2 linked regions of the Arabidopsis thaliana genome follow. The protein of the gene in region 1 interacts with the protein of each later gene in a biochemical or structural test. Each region holds a gene or a part of one and is shown in the gene's direction. Other genes may lie near its edges. The genes, in order: MCM5 and TERT.

The links.
Region 2: the proteins of MCM5 (region 1) and TERT form a complex in vitro, tested with the Arabidopsis thaliana proteins (one study listed by BioGRID).

Annotation. Positions count from the first base shown.
Region 1 is NC_003071.7:3,520,686-3,532,189, reverse strand, and holds MCM5 (Minichromosome maintenance (MCM2/3/5) family protein), read left to right. Parts: upstream 1-4,689; 5' UTR 4,690-4,801; coding exon 4,802-5,071; intron 5,072-5,139; coding exon 5,140-5,283; intron 5,284-5,360; coding exon 5,361-5,540; intron 5,541-5,619; coding exon 5,620-5,718; intron 5,719-5,789; coding exon 5,790-5,926; intron 5,927-6,025; coding exon 6,026-6,131; intron 6,132-6,425; coding exon 6,426-6,560; intron 6,561-6,647; coding exon 6,648-6,725; intron 6,726-6,931; coding exon 6,932-7,036; intron 7,037-7,127; coding exon 7,128-7,219; intron 7,220-7,304; coding exon 7,305-7,437; intron 7,438-7,540; coding exon 7,541-7,636; intron 7,637-7,785; coding exon 7,786-7,877; intron 7,878-7,967; coding exon 7,968-8,058; intron 8,059-8,140; coding exon 8,141-8,250; intron 8,251-8,334; coding exon 8,335-8,464; intron 8,465-8,543; coding exon 8,544-8,645; intron 8,646-8,727; coding exon 8,728-8,811; 3' UTR 8,812-9,206; downstream 9,207-11,504. Other genes in the region: ABCC13 (multidrug resistance-associated protein 11), read right to left, coding at 9,699-10,134, 10,216-10,403, 10,577-10,738, 10,987-11,097, 11,167-11,259, 11,403-11,501. UniProt on the Arabidopsis thaliana protein: Probable component of the MCM2-7 complex (MCM complex) that may function as a DNA helicase and which is essential to undergo a single round of replication initiation and elongation per cell cycle in eukaryotic cells.
Region 2 is NC_003076.8:5,534,694-5,547,449, reverse strand, and holds TERT (telomerase reverse transcriptase), read left to right. Parts: upstream 1-3,890; 5' UTR 3,891-4,005; coding exon 4,006-4,305; intron 4,306-4,460; coding exon 4,461-4,535; intron 4,536-4,616; coding exon 4,617-4,682; intron 4,683-4,763; coding exon 4,764-4,875; intron 4,876-5,054; coding exon 5,055-5,401; intron 5,402-5,697; coding exon 5,698-5,770; intron 5,771-5,892; coding exon 5,893-6,025; intron 6,026-6,210; coding exon 6,211-6,346; intron 6,347-6,609; coding exon 6,610-7,662; intron 7,663-7,834; coding exon 7,835-8,364; coding exon of another isoform or gene 8,365-8,380; intron 8,381-8,463; coding exon 8,464-8,736; intron 8,737-8,853; coding exon 8,854-9,127; 3' UTR 9,128-9,270; downstream 9,271-12,756. Other genes in the region: AT5G16870 (Peptidyl-tRNA hydrolase II (PTH2) family protein), read left to right, coding at 28-54, 426-475; AT5G16860 (Tetratricopeptide repeat (TPR)-like superfamily protein), read right to left, coding at 1,064-3,616; BPA1 (binding partner of acd11 1), read right to left, coding at 9,424-9,945, 10,059-10,133, 10,357-10,426, 10,586-10,695, 11,403-11,408; SYP21 (syntaxin of plants 21), read left to right, coding at 12,298-12,506. UniProt on the Arabidopsis thaliana protein: Telomerase is a ribonucleoprotein enzyme essential for the replication of chromosome termini in most eukaryotes. It elongates telomeres.

The DNA of each region.
Region 1 (11,504 bases):
CTGTTCCTACCTCTTTTCCTAATTTTTTACAACACAATCAACCTGCTGTTATCTTACTTTGTTTTATTACTATTTCAATCATCACCTTCTAGCTTAATCTCGACATTCAACTTATTGTTTGAACAAAAGAACTTTGTGAATTCGATCCTTAAATACTGCAATTGATCTCTTATATGAGAGAGTAGTTCTAGGGTAATTTGAACCTTATTAGTGATTTGAGAGTAGAAGAGATGGCTAGGAAGATTTAATTCAAGTTTGCTAAATTATCGGGATTAGTACATTACCATTCTAGTTATGGGATAGATATGAGGTTGTGGGTGTAAATTCTTAAATCAATTCACATTTCAAGTTCATAGTATAATAATCATACTTGTTTAATTTAGTATGTCTATATCATACATGATCTCTTTGATGTTAAGAGGAGCATCCAGCTTGGTTTTGACAACACAACATCAAATTTGGAAAAATATTTAGATTTGATGTCTTTAACGTACATGGAGGTTATGAGCGTCTTTATGTGTTTAGCATTTTAATCACCACAATAGTAACAAAATCATCGTTTAGTATTGGATGTAAGTGGTTAAATCTTTGTAAAAAAAATTGTCTTATTCTAAAAATTGTCAAAACCTTGCTTTATACTTGAAATTGACTACGTGGTTTTGTGAATTTAGAAGGTAATAAAAAGTTTATATTTTTGTAATAAACTTATTTTATTTAGTTGAATCACATCTTTAAATTTTAGGGTAATATCAATAGATATACATGAACGACTCATTAATTAGGTTGACCACTTGATCACTGTGCACATGTCACTATCATCCTCTTTTTTGTTTATCCTCTTTTTATCATCCTCTTTTTGACTCTTTTACCCCTTTTCTCTCTTTTCTTTTTTTCTTTCTTTTGTTTCTCTTTTATTTAATTTCTGACGATACAAAACTATAAGAATAATAATGGAAACATAAAATCAAATCGAAACAAAGATATTAAAATCAGTATTGGTGAGTTGACAAAAAAAGAGGTGGCGTGAATGAAAACGTGGATTGAGATGGCACGTTCATACAAATATTATCTAGATATTAAATATGTTAGCATGTTATTATTTTATATAACATGTTGTTTTAACTGCTATTATATTAATTATGTAAGAAATAAACTAATTCTTTAAATTGAACTGATATTTACATAAATAAAAATATATTAATTTTCAATTCTAGGTCGATAAAAGATTTGTTTAAAAGTAAACTTATCGCGATATCATATTTTTTAGCATATAAAACAAATAGATAAATGCTTAAATCATATGATGTTTTACTATATCATCTGATGAATAGTGTTTCGGTCGCATGTGAGCAGTGTTATCGAGCGGTTTATGAACTGTGTCGCCACATATTACGTCAGAAAAAATTGGGCTTCTTTCATGATTGGGGCATTTTCCAAGTTTTTAGTGCATTTAGGGCACATTGAAGAGAATAGACACTTTTTTGGAGTTTTTTCACTATTTTAAAAAAATCAATACCAGTTTACCCCTTATTCTCTTCACCTTAAATCAAGTAGCATGGTTAAGAAATGGTTTTGACGGAATCATCTCGTCCATCGAATTGAAAGGTAAAGTTAATCTCTTTTAATCTTGACCGTCAAATTTAAATAAATAAAACATATTTTCTCTATCTATCACTTTCTTATCTTTCTTGTCAATTTCTTCTCTCTCTTCCTTTTGTTATTTAATTTTTATTTAATTTAAGACATTCTCTATTTGATTAAAAATCATTTTTTATAAAATATATAATAATAACATTTTTTCCTTCATGAAATCCATATTACTATATTTATTCATACTATTATTTATTGTATCATCAAAACATAAACAGATTCAGAAAACAAAAAATCCATATGATTTAATCCATTTGGACAACAATGAAATATATAATCTTTAATGAGAACCATATAACCATAAACTCTAAAATCATTATAAACAATCATAGTTCCTTAACACTAAATTCTAAACCCTAAACATTAGATATTAAACTCTATACATTAAACCCTAACTTCTATATCTAAACCCTAAACCCTAAACTTTAACCCATAAACACTAAGCCCTTAACCATATACGTATACCCTATACCATATACCATATACCATAAACCCTAAATCCCAAACCTTCTTAATGTTGCCCATAAATATTAAGCTTAAACCTCTTATCCCTAAACCCTAAACCCTAAACCCTAAACTTTAAACCCTAAACGCTAAACCCTAAACTCTAAACCTTAAACACCTAAACCATAAACCCTAAACTTTAAACCATAGACACTAAGCCCTTAACCATAGAAATATATCATATACCATTTACCATATAAACCCTAAATTTTAAACCTTCTTATTATTGCTTATAAATATTAAGCATAAATCCCCTAAACATAAACCAATTGAGAACATAAAAAATTCATATGATTTAATTCATATGATCAAAATGGAAATATATAATCTAACAAGAAGCATATAACCCTAAACCCAAAAATAATTGTATATGACCATGGTCAATTAACCCTAAACCTTATACCATCTACAATAAACTCTATAATCATTGTAAACAATCATAGTTCCTTAACACTAAATCTAAAACCCTAAACACTAGATACTAAACTCTAAACATTAAACCCTAACCCCTAAATTTATACCCGAAACCCTAAACCCTAAATCTTAAATCCTAAATCCTAAATCCTAAATCCTAAACCCTAAACCCCTAAACCCTAAACCCTAAACCCTAAACTCTAAACCCTTGATATTAAACCCTAAACCTGTTAAACCATAAAGACTAAACCCTTAACAATATACATATACCATATCACGTATACCCTAAACCCTAAACCCTAAATTCTAAGATCTTCACTTTAAAACTTCTTGTTGTTGTCCATAAATATTAAACATAAATCCCCTAAATATAAACAAATTGAGATAGAAAATCCATATTATCCAATCCATATGGACAACAATGGAATATATAATCTCCAATGAGAAACATGTAACCATAAACCCTAAATCATTGTAGACAACTTTGATTCTTCAACCCAAAACCCTAAATCATCTAAACTAAACGCGAAATCCTAAACAATAAAGCCTAAATCCTAAAATGTAAACACTAGATACTAAATCTTAAACCCTAGACATTAAACCCTAGCCCTTGACTTTAAAGCCTAAACCCTAAAACCTAAGTTTTATATGTACATAATCTATAACCACCACTTTTGATCCATGATAATCTAAAGCACGCTTCTTAACCTGAAAACGTAAAATATTATTGAGATCGATGTGTTCATACACAATCTTACGATATACACTCGTATTTATGTTTTGTTAATATGTAATCGTGGATAAATAAATATAAACATTTTCATAAATAAACTTTTGTTGATATGACCAACAAAACTTGTTTCATCACATTTTATCAACATCTTTTACATAACGTAACACTGGTTTTATGAATAGTATTAACAAAACACAATCATTTTGAATTATCGACCGTCAACACACATCCACCAAACTCTGACCATGTGGTCATTTCAAATTATCGCCTATCACTCTTCTTTGATTTGTTTTGTATTTTTTCCATTTTTTCATTATTTGCTCATGTGTTTTAATGAAAATAGCATCAAACTACCTTTAAGTTACAAATTTATAGTAAGAATATATGTTTGGGTTCTTTAATTCAACTCTCTCTCTCTCTTTGAGGAATTTCCACAAATATTTGGTGGCCAAATCTAAGATTTGTAAAAAGACAAAAATTTGACCAAGACAATGATGGATACACTAAGAGAAGAAGAAACCTAGCAATTAAAAATGAAAATTTTAACCTTATGAGGTTGATTAAAGAATGAGAAACTGAATAAAAATCTTGAAAATTTCCAACTTTTAAGATCTAAGAAGAGAAAGAAAAAAGAAAAATCTAGATCTACTTTTTGGTGTTTTTGATGAGAGAGAAGAGAGATAATGTCTCAAACCATTTCCTTTTTTCATTAAGATATTTTAAGTGTTTTGTGTGTTTAATTTTGTAAAGAGTAGAGAAAAAAATGAATGAAAAGAGAGAAAAAGTAATGGTTGTAAATTATGGTAAGTTTGGATTGCTTAGGTTGGGTTGATGGTGTAGTAGTAAAAAAACTTTAAAAAGTGTTTACTCTTTCTAAAGTGCTTTATTGCGTAATTGAGTTTCAAAAAAGTGTCCAATTACCTAATATTCTCAAAAACATTTATCATGTTAATGACATTTCTGTAATTAACGTAAATGAGAAGGATATATATGGTTGATTTTTCTTTTCTTTTTTATAGTTACTTAATTTTCAAATTATTAATGTTATAAAACTAAAAACTATTCTTTTAAACATATATATTAATATAGCCTTAAATTTTAAGTGACATTGAAGAAAATTACGATGGAATTGAAAATGCTTACAACGATATTAAGTAGCTTAAAAATATGAAATTCTAAAATGTGCAATTCATAAATTTAAGATTCCTAGATGTAGTCCATAATTATATTTTTATCTGTTTGGTTTTTTATAATAAATTAGAAAAAATGGATAAAAAATGTAACCTTAGCTAAAAAGAAAAAGAAAGAAAGACCCAATAACCAACGAAATCCATTTACCCGTCCATAGGTCTTGGGTTCGGCCCATCAGTTTCCCGCCACATTGTTCCCGCCAAAACTCATAGTCGACATAAAGCCCTTGCCCCCACTCTCTCTCTTCGTTTAGAACTTTTTGATAAGAGAGAAAGAGATAGAGAAATTCGTAACGGAGACGAAGCAACGATGTCAGGATGGGACGAAGGAGCAGTTTACTACAGCGACCAGCCGCAGTTCCCGGAGGCCGGAGACGCCGCAACCATCAGTCCCCACGCCGTCTTAACCAAATTTAAGGAATTCATTCGAAACTTCGAGATCGAACAGAATTGTTTCCCCTACAGAGAAGCTCTCCTCGATAACCCTAAGCGACTTGTTGTCCACCTCGAAGATCTCCTCTCCTTTGATTCCGATCTCCCCTCCTTAATCCGATCTGCTCCTGCCGATTATCTCCCTGTGGTATGACTTCAAAAAAAATTAGGGTTCATATAAGCTTTGTATTGAGTGAGTCAATCTTTGAATTGTAGTTTGAGAAAGCAGCTGGTGAAGTGTTGACTGGATTGAAAATGAGGGAGGCTAATGAGGGAGGGGTAATGGAGGAACCTCTGACTAGAGATGTGCAGATTTTGCTCACTTCAAGAGAGGATCCAGTATCAATGAGATTACTTGGGGTATGTCTGTTTTTTTGTTTTTAGTATCAATGAGATTACTTGGGGTATGTCTATAATGTACTCTTTACTCTTGATAGGCACAGTACATCTCAAAGTTGGTGAAAATCTCTGGGATTAGTATTGCAGCTTCGAGAGTGAAAGCAAAGGCGACTTATGTGTTTTTGGTATGTAAGAATTGTAAAAAGACAAGGGAAGTTCCATGTCGTCCGGGTCTTGGTGGGGCAATTGTTCCTCGATCATGTGATAATATTCCACAGGTGAGTTCTTTTGATTCGTTTGTGATTTGAGTTTGTAGTTATCCTTGGTGTTGATTAGACCAAATTGGAATTTGTTTAGCCTGGAGAGGAGCCTTGCCCTCTTGATCCTTGGATGGTGGTTCCTGATAGGAGCCAGTATGTTGATCAACAGACCTTAAAGCTACAGGAGAATCCGGAGGTATAGATTTACATTGTAATGTTTTCGCTTTTTTTGCACTTGTATATATTAAATGCTTCTGAGTTTTGAAGGATGTTCCTACTGGAGAGCTTCCAAGAAATATGCTTCTCTCAGTTGATCGGCATCTTGTACAAACAATTGTACCTGGAACCAGACTGACAGTAATGGGTATCTACAGCATTTTCCAAGCTTCGTCATCATCTAACTCGTAAGCTTTGTAGTTTTATGTCAAATGAGAGTGTAGATTGTTTTCTGGGAGAGTTACACCACAACAATGATGGACATCTTTTCCTACTTTCTGATGTAGGCATAAAGGAGCAGTTGCAATTCGCCAGCCTTATATCCGAGTTGTTGGACTGGAAGACACAAATGAGGCCAGTTCCCGTGGCCCTGCCAACTTCACTCCTGACGAAGTTAGTATCGCATCATTTGGTTCTTTTTGTTTTCTCATTTGATAGCCTATGTCATCCATGGTTTCACAATGAACTATTGAAGTTAACATGGCTGAATTATTGTTACTGGAAACCAAATGCCTTAGGTAGCTGTTGGCTCTATGAAATTCTTTGTGTAACTCCCAAATGAATGTGATGGTGTTTTCTGGAAATATTCTCTGTGCTACTAGTTTACTATGAAACATTTAGGCCTGCTTGGAAGCCTAGTTGTACAATTCCATTTATCAGTTTTGTCTTCCATAATATTACTTTTAGGAGGAAGAATTCAAAAAGTTTGCTGATAGTCAAGATGTATACAAGAACATTTGCACCAAGATCGCTCCTTCTATATTTGGCCATGAGGATGTGAAGAGAGCAGCTGCGTGTCTTCTCTTTGGAGGATCCAGGAAGGTAGGAAACTGTGATAGCAGTTTTTATTTTCTGTGCACTTTGTATACGTTTTTGATATATTTATATACATTTCTATCTTTGATTCAGAGCCTGCCCGATGGAGTGAAACTAAGAGGTGATATTAATGTTTTGCTTTTGGGAGACCCATCAACTGCAAAATCACAGGTTTGTAATGTGGTCTCAGTATCAATGGTTTATAATAAGTGTGTTATTCTTTTTATATTTTCTTACGTCTCTCTTATTTGCTTGATATTCGTCTTACATCCTTCTGTTCAAGTGTTAGATTACAATCCTTACAAAATGTCTGTGTTATTTCCAACACCTGTAGCTTACATGTTTAAAGCTTAATTGCTTATTTTTTTTCTCTCTAGTTTCTTAAGTTTGTGGAGAAGACGGCTCCAATTGCTGTTTATACATCTGGAAAGGGTTCATCGGCTGCTGGGCTCACAGCTTCGGTGATTCGAGATAGCAGCACTGTATGTCCTATCTTCAAGTGTTTTTCTATGATTTGTTTAAAAGTAGTTGCTATGACAGATTCTCAGTTATTTATACATATGTTCATTGCAGCGAGAGTTCTATCTTGAAGGTGGTGCTATGGTTTTGGCTGATGGAGGTGTTGTGTGTATTGATGAATTTGACAAGATGAGACCGGAAGATAGGTAATTCAAATCTGAATCATAGTGTTGACGAATCTAATTTTTCTCTATGAGTAGAATTGATGGAATGTTTTTTTTTTCTTTATAGGGTTGCTATTCATGAGGCAATGGAGCAGCAGACAATCTCCATTGCAAAAGCTGGGATAACAACTGTCCTTAATTCTAGAACCTCGGTGCTTGCTGCTGCTAACCCGCCATCTGGTCGATATGATGACCTTAAGGTTTGAAATCTGGTACTCTCCTTTGGCAATATCATGGTTTTCCCGATTCTTGTTTGCAATATTCTTAAGAGATGGGTGTGTTTTTTTTTCTTTGGATTTGCAGACTGCTCAGGACAATATCGATCTGCAGACAACAATTCTTTCTAGATTTGATCTTATCTTCATTGTCAAGGACATCAGGAAGTATTCCCAAGACAAGGTAAGCAAGGAAAGGAACAATTCTTTCAGAAATTTTATGTAGTTAAAAGGGAAAACAGAGATTAATGATGGAGGTCACTGTTATTGGAAAGTTTGCTTCGTTGCTTGCTTATTATGTAGACATGATTAATGTTTATAATCTTTTCACAGGAAATAGCCAGCCATATTATAAGGGTTCATGCATCTGCAAACAAATTTTCGGATGAAAACACAGATTCTAAAGAAGATAATTGGCTCAAAAGGTGTGTTTTCATTCGTCGAGAAAACAATGTGTTCTCGCAGTTTTCTGTACAAAATCATGACTCTAAAATATAATGCTCTTTTTATGTTAGGTATATACAATACTGTCGAGCAAGGTGTCATCCCCGTCTCTCAAAAGACGCTGCTGAGAACCTGCAGCGGAAATATGTCACAATCAGAATGGTAATTGTCATTTACATTAGATTTGACAATAAGATGGTTAAAAAACAAAGTTGGTGTCAGTATAAAATTTTCGGCTAAACAGGATATGAAGAGACGTGCACATGAAACAGGAGAGGCTGCTCCGATACCTATCACAGTGAGACAACTCGAAGCTATTGTCAGACTGAGTGAGTCACTTGCAAAAATGAGACTGTAAGTAATCTTATTAACATAGAGATTCCTGATTCCTGAAACCTGATGGGATGTGCCGTCCATTGACATTGTTAAATATGTCAGGTCACACGAGGCCACACCAGATGATGTAGACAAAGCTTTTAAACTTTTTGATACCTCGACAATGGATGCAGCAAGATCAGGGATAAATCAACAGATAAACATAACAGGCGAGATGGCCAATGAAATCAAGGTTAGTTGCTTGTGGGGAAGAAAGAATCATCGTATCTCTAGATGTAATAACTAAATTTGGTATTGGTGTGAAAAAACAGCAAGCGGAAACACAGATAAAGAGAAGAATGGGGATCGGAGCTCGATTATCAGAGAGAAGACTGATAGAGGATCTGGCTAGAATGGGAATGAACGATTCAATGGTACCTAAGCTAACATCTTTGTTGTTTAATTTTCAGTAATGTGAATGGGATTTTTGAGGTAATGTGCATGTTAAAATGGCAGGTGAGGAGAGCTTTGTTGATAATGCACCAGAGAGGTGAAGTTGAGTACCAGCGAGAGAGACGTTCTATTGTCCGCAAAGCTTGATCGTCTAGGCATGCAATCTCTCTTCTTTAGTAGCAGCGATGACCAAACAAAACAAAATATTTAATATTATCAAGTTAATTTGTAGGCAAAAAGTAGAAAGAGAAGCTTATGTCATGTGTATTTGATGAAGATTCTTAGTAAACTTTTACGCTTGCTTCAAACTAATGTATTCTCCACCTTTGTTGTCCTTAGTTAAAATGTCACGCCAATGTTAGGAAAGCGTTTGAAGATTGCTGAATGGTATAATCTAGTGCCGATAGTTAAAGTAAAGATGCAGATAGAATAGTTGATAAAGTAAAAGTGTAATCTGAACGTATATGTAAATTAAAATTTTCTTAATGTTGTTATTAGTAGAATGTTGTTACCTTGAAAAAAAAATGAAATAAATAACCATGGTTGAACTTGACTCAAAATGTTCTTCTTTTAAACTGGTTCGGGTTACAAAACTAGTATGTTGTTGAATTTTGAACTGGTTCTGAAGCTCCCGGAATCTCTCAATTTCATTTTGTTCTTGTGTTGTTGAGAGATAATTGCTTCTCTATTTAACATATTTTTGGCCAATTACTTTACTCTATCATGCATAGCTTGGGAAACTCATGGCTAAAGCTGTTTTAAGTTGCAATGAAGAATCAATTCCTTCTGAACTAACTTCTTGGAAGAAAAACAGACAATAAGAGTACCATTGTTTACTTCTCAGTTCTCAATCACCATCGAATTAGATAGATATTTATGAATTTGGATTAGGCAAGTCCATGAAGACTCATTTATTATGGAAAACTGAGCATATAAATGAGCTACTACAGTTGAAACTAGTTTTTCTTAATTTCCATGACAAGATAATTATAGCAGAGATCAGAAGTTACAAGTGATCAGATTCTAACAACATTTCACTGAGAAGCTCTGACAAAGCTTGAAAAAGTTGAGGAGTCATCTTGCAAAAGATGTTGTGGTTTTCCTTGTTCAACAAGAATTCCACGATCAAGAATTAGGATGCTGTCTAAATCAACAACCGTAGAAATGCGGTGAGCAATGGTAATGACGGTTACGCCTTTGCATTCACTCGATATCGTGTTGTGGAGTAGGGAAGCTGTGTGAACATCGATGTTGGCGGTGCATTCATCAAGGCATAGGATCTTAGATGACTTGAGCAAAGCACGAGCAAGGCACAAAAGCTGTCTCTGTCCAACAGAAAAGGAACAACCAGATTCCTTTACATATGAATCTAACCCTCCTACACTTTCTACCGCTGCCTTAACTTTACACTTGTCTAGGATCTCCCAGATTCTCCAATCCTCACTCAACCCAAGAGGATCAAGGTTATCCCTACGAGAACCACAACTTTTTTTCATTATGAAACTGCAGGCAACACCTTTGGTTAGTGAATTGAAGGAGTTAAGTTCTCACCTCAGTGATCCTTGAAACAGAAAAGGGCTCTGAGGAACAACAGCGAGGCAAGAACGGAGTTCTCTTATCGGAAGATGGCTTATGTTTTTTCCATCCACCAATATCTCTCCACTACAAACAGGAGTAAGCCGGAAAAGCGCATTCAAGATCGAGGACTTCCCGGCACCAGTTCTTCCAATTACTCCTACCTGATAAATGAAAACAAAACAATCATGAGACAGAAAAAGTCAATTCTGTTGTAGAGTGCTCTCTCTAGCGGATAGTCTCTTCCCGATAACTTCATATAAATTGTATATGTTGGGAGAAAAGATAAAAACAGAAAAAGTCAAGTCTGTTGTAGAGTGCTCGGCGATACACGTACATGCATTCCTCCTTGGATTGTAAAAGAAATTTGGGTGAGGGCCGGAGGCAGAGTTGAGATGTATCTCATTGTCACATTGTGAAACTCAACTAATCCGTGAACAGGCCACTTATCGCTGAGAGATTGAGGACCTGAAACTTCTTCTTGAGGCACATCCATGTACTAATAACACAGGAGAGCATGGTTCATGTAATTAGTAACACTAACATACAAAAATTACTTAATGAATCAGAATCATTATCTTTATCTTTGATTTCTCGTAGTGCGAATGTAGAAGTGGATAATTTGGCACGACGAATTTGTACCGAACCACATCATATCATATATGTAAACAACATTCCTCAGGAATGGCTCTTTTGAGCTGCAATTAATTTCGGTTGACAAACCAAAAAAAGAATCAGAATCATTACCTGGAGAACCCTTTCAACAGAAACCATTTCTTTTTCTGTTTCAGTAAAACTTGTTAACAAGCTTCCTAACAGAGAAACCAATGGAGCTGCATATGAGAGCGCTAATCCCACCTGTGATCCAAATTATAAATAGTATGCTTTTCACTTTCCTATATATTTATGAAAACTGCAGTTTCTTACCAGTCCAGGTGTACCAAAACTGATTGGAAAGTTCCCCCCGGAGCCGAGGACAGCCATTACAGCGACAAATAAGACAATCATTGATCCTAACAACTGCACCATTTTACTCAACTTATCAGCGATTTTTCGAGATTTCCATATTTATTGCAGACACATGAAACTAAACATTGTTACCAATTCTCAAAAGGTGAATGAAAAATGTTCTACAAAATGTAAGCAAAGATGTATTAGTGTACCTGAAGACGCAAGGAGAGCCACAAGCTTGCGATTATCTCTGAGTAAGAAGTCCGCTGGTATAGCGTCAAATGCTCAATAAATCTACCTACAAAATGCTCCTG
Region 2 (12,756 bases), on another chromosome or scaffold:
TCTAATAATACGTCATGTTCTTTCCAGATTCAAGGACGGTTATGGCTATTCTTGGTAAGTTGTTATTTTTAAGATATGTGTTTGAAAGTTAAGACTCTGATGGACAAGTGATGAGTTTGAGAGTTGCAAATCACACTTACCCTAGAGAAATGTACTAGTTTATTAGTTCATGACTTCTCTTGATTGCTTGGTGCTTGTCCTTGACCCTGAATGGAATCTATAGTTCATAAGAATCCAAAATATGAAATGTAAGCTCAAAAGTTGACTCGGTCAGAAGAGGGTGTATACTTTCTGCGTGGTATCCAAATTCATATGCACCGTTCTATGACCAGGAGTTAGAGATTCTTGTAGCAGAATTTGTTTATCGGATATTATCAGCATTTCTTAACACAACATTCCAACGCTTATAGATTTTACTTCTGCAGGACCAGTCGAAGTTGTTGATGAAGTAACAGGTGGACTAAAGCTTCTTTAGCAGATTCGAATTTCGATATGACATTTCTTCAACCTGATCTCTCAGATGGACCAAGCAGAAAGGAGAGACATGAACTCCACCTTCTCTGTTCGCCCGAGGTTACCTGTGAGAAATCTGTAGTTGTTACGTATACTCGTTCCTGATGATGACGAAATATTCATTTTAAAACATTTTCCCCATTTTTCATGGGCATGTAGCATTTCCCTCTACCAATGGTGATATCATCTTTTTTTGCTGGATTTGTATTAGAAGTATCAAAAGCTCGAGCCTTTTTTGGCACATTGAGAAAATGGCTTGTTCTAATGCCAGTTCATGGGAGTGTTGGCTATATGAACATTTCAAATGTAACAACAGATCTTGTTTATTGAAGATAAACCCATGGTATGGAGTGTGATTATCTACCAAAAATAAAGAAGAAAGCTATTCATCTACAAAATTTGCTTAAATTATATAATCTACATGAGGTGTTTAACACAGTGCTTATTATCCCTTTCTTTGTCCCTTTAGATCGTTCCTGAAATCTGCTGTAGCCATGTCAAAACCCTCAGGTTGCTTCCGTGTTTGGTAGAGTGCATAGAGAGAGCATCATCACCAGTAACCTTTGCATGAACACGATCCATTTTTGAAATGATGGAAGCGACTTGAGTCCCTCAATATAATATCATGATCAATGATTCTGGACATGTATGTGAATGCTGTATGGCAATCACCACATACCCGTAAATTCTTAGTAATCCTGATAGCAGCACCTTGCGGAGTTGTTAGAATACCATATGCAAGAGCTAACTTCTCACTATGCTCGAAAAGAAGATCATCTTTCTCTTCATCGTCTACATCATGAAGAGCAAAGCCTGTTTCAGGAACATAACCAATGTCCTTGATGCGTTGCATGTGATCTAAGAGGACCTGGTATATTTCCTTAGCGTGTGGATGAGTTTTATCACCCACGAAGAACGTAGTAGTTCCTTTAATTCCTTCAACCCAACTACAACCAGGTCTTTTCTTAACTCCTTTATGTCTCATCAATGATCTGATCCTAGTCACATCTTTCCAACGCCCTGCATTTGCATACAAATTTGAGAGTAATGTATATGATCCATCATGATTAGATGCTAATTCTGTTATTTTTTCCGCAGCGTACTCCCCGAGTTCAACTTTTCCGTGGATTCTGCAGCAACTGAGAAAAGCAACCCATACCACAGGAGGAGGCTCCATTGGCATTTCTTCAATGAGACGCAAAGCTGCATTCAACCGGCCAGCACGACCTAACAAGTCAACCAAACATGCATAATGCTCCGGACCAGGACTAACCCCAAAAACAGTTTTCATTCTATTGAAATACTCCATGCCCTGATCAATCATTCCTGAATGACTACAAGCATATAATACAACAAGTAATGTAACACCATCAAGCTTAAAACCTATTCTCCTCATTTCATCAAAGATTCCAAGAGCTTCTTCTCCATAACCATGCATACCATAACCCGTCATTAGAGATGTCCAAGTAACTTCATTTTTCGCCATCATATTGTCAAATACAAGGCGGGCATCACTGATGCTTCCACATTTTGCATACATGTCTATTAGACAGTTTGATACGAACAGCGGTACTGCATTCTGCTGGTTGCGCAACGCATAAGCATGAATCTGCTTGCCAATTCTTAGTGCAGCCAAACTGGCACATGCCACGAGGGCACATGATATGGTAAAAGCATTTGGTCTTGTTTGGCAATCTTCCTCAAACATCTCAGATAAAAGTTCGAGAGCTTTATTTGCATCCCCGTGCTGGGAGTATCCACCTATCATCACAGTCCAAGTCACAACATCCCTTTCCTTGGGGGAAAGTGAATCAAACATAGCACGTGCAGTATCAACCTTTTTGCACTTAGCGTACATGTCAATCAGTTGATTGATTACCATATTCTCATCACCATGACCGTTCTTACGCAAGTCTATGGGATATTTGATGGCATAACAATGAATCTCTTTACCATGCATCAATGCTCCAACAGAAGCACAACCCGAAAGAACCGAAATAAGCGTGACTTCATTTGGTTTTATCCCAGAAGACAACATCTGCCTACACACACCCAAAGCTTCATATCCAAGTCCCCGTTGAGCATACCCTGAAATAGCAGCACTCCAAGTAACAACATCCATTTTTATTTTCTCTTCCTGCATCTTCTCAAATAACCTAACAGCATCTTCAAACCTTCCAATCTGTGAATACCCAGCAACCATAGCATTCCAAGATACTACGTCCTTCACTGACATGTTCGAAAACACCGTGTTTGCCTCATCCATCATCCCACACTTTGCATACATATCCACCAAGCAATTCCCTACAAACATATTCTGTATCATCTCACTTGTGACTGCAAAACAATGCAATTGCTTCCCTAGTGAATGAGTTCCTAGGGAAGCACAAGGAGGAAGAACATTCACAAGGGTAATATTATCAGGTCTACATCCGAATTCATTGGTCATCCTGCTAAACATTTCAAGCGCCACCTTAGGTTTGCCTAACTTTGCATAACTTTCTATTATAGAGTTCCACGATACAACATCCCAAACAGACATTTCGTCGAACACCTTCCGTGCATCACTCAATGAACGACAACGGGAATACATAGCAACAAGCGCATTCCCAACAAAGACATTGGAGATAAATCCAGTTACCAGAGAAAGCGCGTGAGCAGATTCTCCACAACGAACGGAGGATATCTCGCCGCAAGCCTTGAAGACGAAGGGGAATGTGTAATTATCCGGCGTCCATGACAGAGAATGCATAAGGCCGAACAAATAGAGACATTTATTGGCGCAGCCATTGTCGCCGTAGCTGCGAATGAGTGAATTCCAATGGTAGACACCAGCGTCAGATGGAGGAAAACGACGGAGGAGAGATACGGCATGAGATAAGCAACCGACGGAGATATAGGTGGAAATGAGGTGGGAAGTGAGATTCAAGGTTAGGATTCCGAAAGAGAGGAGTTTCTGGTGAATAAGCTTGACCTGAGAGATGGTTTTGCATTTGTGAATAAACGGCGGTGTTATCTCCGGCGCCGATGTCGAGAAGAGAGAGACTTTAATGTACTGGTGAGATTTTGCGGCGGCGTTGGGGATGAGAAGGCGGCGGATCATACTACTGTAACTAGAGTGGCGGGTGATTTCTGCGTTTAAACTAAACAAATCAATTCGGTTATATCCCGGTTTTAGATTGGAAATTTGAAGAAAGTAATGAAACCGGATGTGAAAAGAAGAAGAAAGTATAATAGACCGATTAAAATTTAAAGCGAATTTCGGTTCGGTTTATGTGCTAAGCGACCTGCGTTTGCGGTTGAGTGGACGCTTTGGATAGCGTTTGTAGCTCAGCTTTGAATTGTTTTGAAATTTTCAAAATCGCAGTTTATAGTTTCGAGAACCCAGAAGACCTTTAATCTCCCGCCTCTTTCACACCATCAGACTCCATTATCGAAGCTCGTTCACTCTTCTCTCTCTCCAAATTCGAGAGAAAGGAGGAGGAAGGTGTAATGCCGCGTAAACCTAGACATCGTGTACCGGAGATTCTATGGAGGTTATTCGGAAACAGAGCCAGGAATTTAAACGACGCAATAGTAGATCTGATTCCTAACCGGAATATCCAGCCGGAGCAATGCCGATGCCGGGGTCAAGGTTGTCTCGGTTGCAGCAGCGATAAACCGGCGTTTCTGCTGCGTTCCGATGATCCCATTCACTACCGTAAACTTCTTCACCGTTGCTTCGTTGTACTTCACGAACAAACCCCTCCGCTTCTGGATTTCTCTCCAACATCTTGGTGGTCACAGAGAGAGGTAAGATTCTTCTTCCCACTGTACTATACATTGCTTTGAGTGCTTAATTTGAGATATTTCAAGACGTGGCTACTCCTTATAAAATGCCTCTATGTTATCTTATTTTGTATGATGTTGCTGATTTCTAAACATTTTGCTTCAATTGAGTTTATCAGATTGTTGAAAGGATTATTGAAATGATGCAATCTGGATGTGATTGCCAAAATGTGATATGTGCCAGATATGATAAGGTGAATTCTTCTTCTTCCTTCTCAAACTCAATGTAGAGTGCTGATTTTCTTAGCCTAATGATTTCTCGTCTCCTTTGACAGTATGATCAGTCGAGCCCTATTTTGGAGCTATTGACAAGTTCATCTTGGGAGTTTCTTCTCAAGCGGGTTTGTTCTCAAACCCTTTTGATGATTTACTTTCAATATTCGAGTTTGCGGTCACTAATATTCAAGTTCCCTTGTTTATAGGTCGGTCATGACGTCATGGTTTATCTTCTACAGCAAACATCAATATTCTTACCATTACTAGGGAAAAAACACCAGCAAGTGTCTGGACCTCCTCTATGTATCAAGCATAAGCGTGAGTCTCAGAATTAAACTTGTATCCGAGCTCTTCTGTTGGCTTTCTTTTGAAACTTCCACTTTCTTGTTGGTTCTCTGAATACTTATGATTTGTCTGTGACTGCTTGGTTATCGATTATCAACTTCTGGTTTTTAGTTCATATTAACTTAGTAAAGTTTTCCTTCTCCATGGTATAGGGACATTGTCAGTCCATGAAAACAAAAGAAAGAGGGATGACAACGTTCAGCCACCAACGAAAAGGCAGTGGCTTTCTTCAGCTGTCGATGACTGTCCTAAGGATGACTCTGCAACTATTACGCCCATAGTTGGCGAGGATGTAGACCAACATAGAGAGAAAAAAACTACTAAGCGTTCAAGAATATATCTTAAGCGTCGGCGAAAGCAGAGAAAGGTCAATTTCAAAAAAGTTGACTGTAATGCTCCTTGTATAACTCCCAGTACAAATGGTAAAGTCTCAACTGGTAATGACGAAATGAATCTGCACATTGGTATAAATGGAAGTCTCACTGATTTTGTAAAGCAGGTAATGTTCGTAACAATGATATTGATCAATCAAGTTTAAGTTGAAAATGCACAAGTTTAAACATAAAGTTATTGCTTAAAATTACTAAGAGACGTGTATAAATTGCTCTTGATTTATCCTCAGCCTTGAGAAATTGATGGGACTATTTTTGTAGTTGTACTTTGGTGTATTTTAAAAACTGTATCATTTATCTTGTTGTATTCTGGTGGTTATTAATATTCTTCCTGACACTTCATTACCTTCAAATTCGACAATCTGTTCTTGTATTTGTAAGATTTAATCACTGTTTTTTGTAGGCTAAACAGGTTAAAAGAAACAAGAATTTCAAGTTTGGCCTCTCAGAAACGTATTCAGTTATACCACCAAACCGTATCCTTCAGTGGTTTTGACATGTTCAATGACTTGTAGCAACGATAGCTTGATGGAAGTTTAAACGTTACTCTTCTCTATACAGTTCTTCTGCATTGTGAATGATTCCTTATGATATACAGACATTTTAAAAACCTTGAGGCCCAACTGCTCTGATTCAAAGCTCCTAATGAACCATATATTTGGTGAAGTAAATGTTTGGTCAACGACGCCATCTCATGGCAAAGGCAATTGCCCCAGTGGATCTATTTGCTTGTAAGTCATCCATTTATTCTTGTAAGTTCTTCGGCTTACTCTGAGACTTGGAGCATGTATTCAGATAATGTAGAGCACATATCTAAGTAGTCTGAGTTATAAAAGGAATTTGTTTAAAAGTTTTGTTGAGGTAACTGATGCAAAGAAGAAAATGATATCATGATGTCTTTTACATTGATTTGCAGATACCATTCATTGCTCAAGTCTCTTAAAAATCTAATAGGAAAAACAAAGTCTTCACATTTAAAAATGCTACTAGACAAACACTGTCCTGTTCTCTTGCTGCAAGAGGATGCATTGAAGTCCGGAACGACTTCTCAGGTTGATATTTTTCTTTTAGAGATGGTTTTCATATTTAATTTCCCTAGCGTTTTTCGTTTGATGTCTTTTGAGTATTTCTATTTCAGAGAAGTTATGTTGAATATTCGAATATGTACAACAAAAAGAAACTAGAAATGGAAAATCAACACAGTTGCTACTTTATAGACTTTGGATATATAGTGCAAACCTGCATAAGAATTCATATCCGTGGCACTTCCAAGTGCTTCCTTGAAGTGACGAACCTTGCATATCTTGTATTACAGAGTTCAAGGAGGCAAAAAGCAGATAAGCTGCCTCATGGATCAAGTTCATCACAAACGGGAAAACCCAAATGTCCCAGTGTTGAAGAAAGGAAGCTGTATTGCACGAACGACCAAGTAGTTTCCTTTATTTGGGCCATCTGTAGGTACATTGTTCCAGAAAGTTTGCTTGGGACCACTCATCAGATGAGGGTGCTTAGGAAAAATATAGCGTGGTTTGTTTCAAGGCGACGAAATGAGAAATGCACAGTGAATCAGTTTTTGCATAAAGTGAAACCATCAGATTTCCCATTCTTTGCTAGAAAAGAGTTATGCTGTATGGTCAACGGACATGAACTCCAAAGTGAATCCATCAGAAGTACACAGCAGATGTTGTGCACGAAATGGATTTCTTGGCTTTTTTTAGAGATTGTCAAGAAATTGGTGCACTTCAACTTCTATGCCACTGAAAGCCAAGGAGGACGGCTAAATATTTATTATTACCGGAAAAGGAGCTGGGAAAGATTAATAAGCAAAGAAATTAGCAAAGCCCTTGATGGATATGTCCTAGTAGACGATGCTGAAGCTGAAAGTAGCAGGAAGAAGCTATCAAAGTTTAGATTTTTACCAAAGGCCAATGGTGTGAGGATGGTGTTAGACTTTAGTTCTTCGTCAAGGTCGCAATCTCTTCGTGATACACATGCTGTTTTGAAGGACATCCAGCTCAAAGAACCAGATGTTCTTGGGTCTTCTGTCTTTGACCATGATGATTTCTACAGAAACCTATGCCCATATCTGATCCATTTAAGAAGTCAATCTGGAGAACTTCCTCCTTTGTACTTTGTGGTTGCGGATGTATTCAAAGCATTTGATTCAGTCGACCAGGGTAAGCTGCTTCATGTCATTCAAAGTTTTCTGAAAGATGAATACATCTTAAACAGATGTAGGCTGGTCTGCTGTGGGAAGAGATCCAATTGGGTAAACAAAATACTAGTCTCGAGTGACAAAAATTCTAACTTTTCAAGATTCACATCAACTGTTCCATATAATGCACTGCAAAGTATCGTGGTTGATAAGGTATGCTTCTTTTTGACCTAGAGCTTTTTGATCTTTTTGCAGAGGGTAAAATACAAAACTATTGGACTACTTAAAAAAATCTCTAGAGATCTCTTTTCTTAGTGCTTGTAGCGTCCCTGTTGTTCTTTACTTATTTGCTTAACGGTGTTATGGTTTTGGTCCAACCTTCTAGGGAGAAAACCATCGAGTGAGGAAAAAGGATCTAATGGTTTGGATAGGAAATATGCTAAAGAACAACATGCTGCAGTTGGATAAAAGCTTCTATGTACAAATAGCTGGAATACCTCAGGGACACAGATTATCATCCTTGTTATGTTGTTTTTACTACGGGCATCTCGAGAGGACTTTGATCTACCCATTCCTCGAAGAAGCCTCTAAAGATGTGTCTTCTAAAGAATGCAGTAGAGAGGAAGAGCTTATAATTCCCACGAGCTATAAGTTACTGAGATTTATTGATGACTACCTTTTTGTGTCTACCTCAAGAGATCAGGCGAGTAGCTTCTATCACAGGTTGAAGCATGGATTTAAAGATTACAACTGCTTCATGAACGAAACAAAATTCTGCATAAATTTTGAAGATAAAGAAGAACATAGGTGTTCTTCTAATAGAATGTTTGTGGGAGATAATGGAGTTCCTTTTGTCAGATGGACGGGTTTGCTTATTAATTCCCGCACATTTGAAGTTCAAGTTGACTACACAAGGTCTGCCTCATCTCCTGTATGTTTCCTTCATAAGTATACTTGTTTGGCTCTGTTTCCTCAGCTTTTATTTATAATTTTGCCTCAAATTCATGGAAACAGGTACTTGAGTGGCCATATAAGCTCAACTTTTTCTGTAGCTTGGCAGAACAAACCAGTTAGAAATCTTCGGCAAAAATTGTGTTACTTCTTGGTTCCGAAATGTCATCCAATTCTATTTGACTCGAACATCAACTCGGGAGAAATCGTCAGGTTAAACATCTATCAGATCTTTCTGTTGGCTGCAATGAAGTTTCACTGTTATGTCTACGAGGTGTCCCGGTTTTGGAAGCTTCATCCTCAAACTTTGTTCAAATTCATCACAATATCTGTCAGGTATGGAATCAAAACTACATCATATGTCTGTGAGCATTTCGGTTTTTGGATCATTCTGATTTGAGTTATTCGGTCTTTTTTTGCTTATTCGGTTCTTGATTTCTTTCCAACTGATAGGTACATGTTCAGACTCATAAATAGAAGGGTGCGCAGAATCAACACTGGTTCTAGTTTCAGACCAGTTCTTAAACTATACAAAGAAGAAGTGATATGGCTTGGCTTAGACGCTTATATTCAAGTTCTGAAGAAGAAAAACTCGAGATATCGAATGCTCTTGATCTATTTAAAATCTGCACTTTCTAAACACTCTCTTTCTCAGCAGCTATCGTCGGAATTGAGGTATGCAACAGACCGGTCAAACTCTTCTTCGCTGTGGAAGTTGAATTATTGAAACTGATCTTAACTAGATTTTATCATCGAAACTTAGGTAGATCCTTTAAATTTCTATTTCAGTCATTTTGATAATCTAGGAACAAAATGGATTTGTAACATTTAGGGTAAAGAAAGATTTAAATGTCAACTTATTAAATATGTATATTGGAAAAAACCCAAACTATAGTCTAATAGTGGTAGGGAAAATCCAGGCATAGCTTATATGGTACATCCCAAAGACCAAACCAGATTTCCAACTTCCATGTCAAAGAAACCAACAAGGAGAAACAAAGGAAACTGTTTAACTTGATGATATTAGTTCTTCGAGTATTCGGACGAATGAATCGGAGAATACCCTTCTGGCAGTTGCTGCTGCGACTGTGCTGGTTGCGATGGTTGCTCAGCTTCAACCTTCTCTTTTGTTTTCTGTCCAACCTCTCCAGCTGCTTGAGCCACTCTATTGAATGCTCCTGCGGCCCAGCTCACACCAGTTAACACGTAACGGTTCTTCATCACAGCGCTTCCTGCACTGCTCACAGTCTGCTCCGCAGCTGCATACACAGACTTGGTCCTCTCTGTTACCTGAAAGTTTTGGTCCACCGCCTTGATTTTTTCGTTCACCAAGCTTGTTCCAGCTGTAAGTTTCTGGCTAAGACCGATTTTTTGGTCTAGTGAAGCAACTCCTGCGGTGGCGGTTGAGGTGAAACCATGTTTCTCATCAAAAGCTTTTGCTTTGCCGACAGCATCTTTCCCAAGAATGAAACCCTTTGCTAACATGCTGCTCACAACATCTTCTGCCTTCTGGACAACAGATTCTGCACCGCTGCTCTGTGTTTCCTGAGAAAATTAACACAAATTAACACCTCTACGAAATTACTGCTCTATTGAGTGTTGAGATGAATACTTTTCACTAATCAAAAAGAAGAAAAACAGTATGAAGAAGACATTACAGCATGAGGGGCTGCTGGTGGACTGTAGTTGGGAGCCAACTCAATGATGACTGATTGATCGGCAATACTCGCTCCCTGAAATAACACCCCTTGTTAGTAATGCAAATTGCAAATGGTCCCAAATATTAGTTGTAAGCAAACTAATTTTACTTATAAATACTCAGAGATACTTTGTCTGGACTAGAGAAGTATAACCATATTAAACGAAGGTTTATAGACATGGATTGATTACTAAATTAACAGTGTTATGTAAGAGTTGAATGCTACTACAATAATATTGAGATAAGAGTGAACCCACAGATAAGAGCACAGCAGTCTCTGCTCCTTGAGTTTCTTTAAATGTGACATAAGCACTATGCTCGTTACTGCTAGTTAGAAAAAGAAAACAAAAACAAAGCTCAGAGTCAGTAAGTTTAAGAGAACTGTATCTAAATTTGCTGAGAAAAAGCTTCGGAAGTTAATTGATCAAAAAAAGCTTTAAATGTCAAAATTTTGAAATCAAAGAACAAGGAAACAATATCACTAACCTTTGGATATCGATGCTTTCAACTTCACCAGAGAAAGAGAAAAACTCTTTAATATCATGCTCAGTTGCTCCTGAAGAGAGATTGCCAACTTTTACTGACCTTACCTGTGACTGTCATCATAAAGAATCAAAAGGGAAAGAATCATTAACGAAAACAATAAACAGGTGTTTCATGAGAATGTTTACAGTACAACTACTTTTTGTATCCAAGCATATCTAATCGACCGAAAGTCCCATTTTAATCAAATCAGCTCAAACTCAAAGAAGCCTAGATTTATCACAAGATTATACAATTATGCAAGTAAAGGGATAATATTATAGTGGCTTAGAAGATGACTGTCATCATCTCACTATACAAAAAGAAAACTCGAATGAACCATGAAGGCTACCAATTAAGGAAACTAATCGACAATGTATGGAGGAATCTAAAAGTAAATTGGCTAGCGAGATTCGGTTCCAAATTGAGAATAACACAATCGCGATTTACTACGATAAACGAAAACCAAAACCGAGAAATCAAGGAGATAATAGAGATAATTGCACGAATACAGATCACACAGAGATACAGAATCAATTAATAACGACAATAATAATCATCAAACTCGTCCAAATAGCATTGGAGATATTATGTCGGCAAGTGCAGCAATCAAACAACAGATCATCCAAATTGAAGAAGAAATCAAATCAATAGCCAAAAATATCAATCCTGAGAAAATTTCCCGATAAACAAATGGATCGCAACAATATCTACCAGCAGAGGAAACCTAAACCTTTTCCGCATAAAACAAAATTATACACAAAAAAAAAGTAGAGCATACCGCCATGGATGTTGATCTTCGAAGTCGCGCAGAGAGAGAGATATGTAATTTGTTGCTTTTGTCACGCAGATTCAGAGATTGGCCTGAAAACCGAAACGTACTTCGAGATCGATGATGCGTAGATAGATAGAGAGGGAAGAGTGTATTTTGCTTTATATGACACCTCACACTCAACGTGTGGGTTTGCGTTACGCCCTTTAATCCTATTTTAGTCCCTAATTGTTTCCAACAATTAATATTTTCACTTTTTTAGTATATATTTCTATTTTTTCCCTCTTCAGTTCAAAACAAAAGTTAGGAGTTTCGTAACACAATTATTAAGTTTATGTTTTATTAGAAAAAAATACATAAAAATTTTACTTTTTATCAACAAAAATATATCATTGTTTTTCTATAAAAAGTGGTTTATGTATCAAAGTGATTACTGTAATTATTAATTCAGTCATAAAATATGATAACTTGGTAATTACAAAAAAGTTGGACTTCTCCTTGTTTTTGGCCCAACTCTTCTCTTTTCCTTTTACTAAACTCCAATGTAGCCCAAAATCATTTAACCAATCCTTATCCTGCAAACCCACTCAATTGGTCCGGTTTACTCGAACCGAGTTTCAATTTTACACGGAAGGGCAGGTGAGGTCAACAACGACACGCAGGATTCTTCCCTCGCAATGGCGTGTCACCGCCAAATAATTTATACGTATTAATAAATTCCCTCCACCACCATATTCACGCGGACCACATGAGATTAAATGATTTATACAAATTATAAAACAAAAATTAACATTAAATTTTGGGAAAACTTATAATTCACCTAACTCATTTCCATCATCTTCGTCTTCGTTTGTTCCCCTGAGATAGAGATAAGAGAATTTCGAGAGATTCGAGAGAAGAGACGATGAGTTTCCAAGATCTCGAAGCTGGTACTCGATCTCCGGCGCCGAATCGTTTTACCGGTGGGAGACAACAGAGACCTTCGTCTCGTGGGGATCCATCTCAGGAGGTCGCCGCCGGGATTTTCAGGATCAGCACGGCTGTCAATTCCTTCTTCCGCCTCGTTAATTCGATCGGAACACCTAAAGATACTCTTGAATTACGAGATAAGCTGTCAGTAGCAATTCTTAATCACACTCTTCTTCTCTTTGTTAAATCTCTGTTGATTAGGGTTTTGGTTTTACTTATTGATTTTGGTCGATTTCATTTCAATTTTTAATTGAAAAAGTTTTCTAATTGTTTTGAAGCTAATCCTGCATTATTTTCCCTTAACCGAAGAACAAATTTGAGTTTGCTGATCGATGTGAGACAACATTGCAAATAATGCCTGACAACATTGCAAATAATGAGCTTTTTGTGTGTG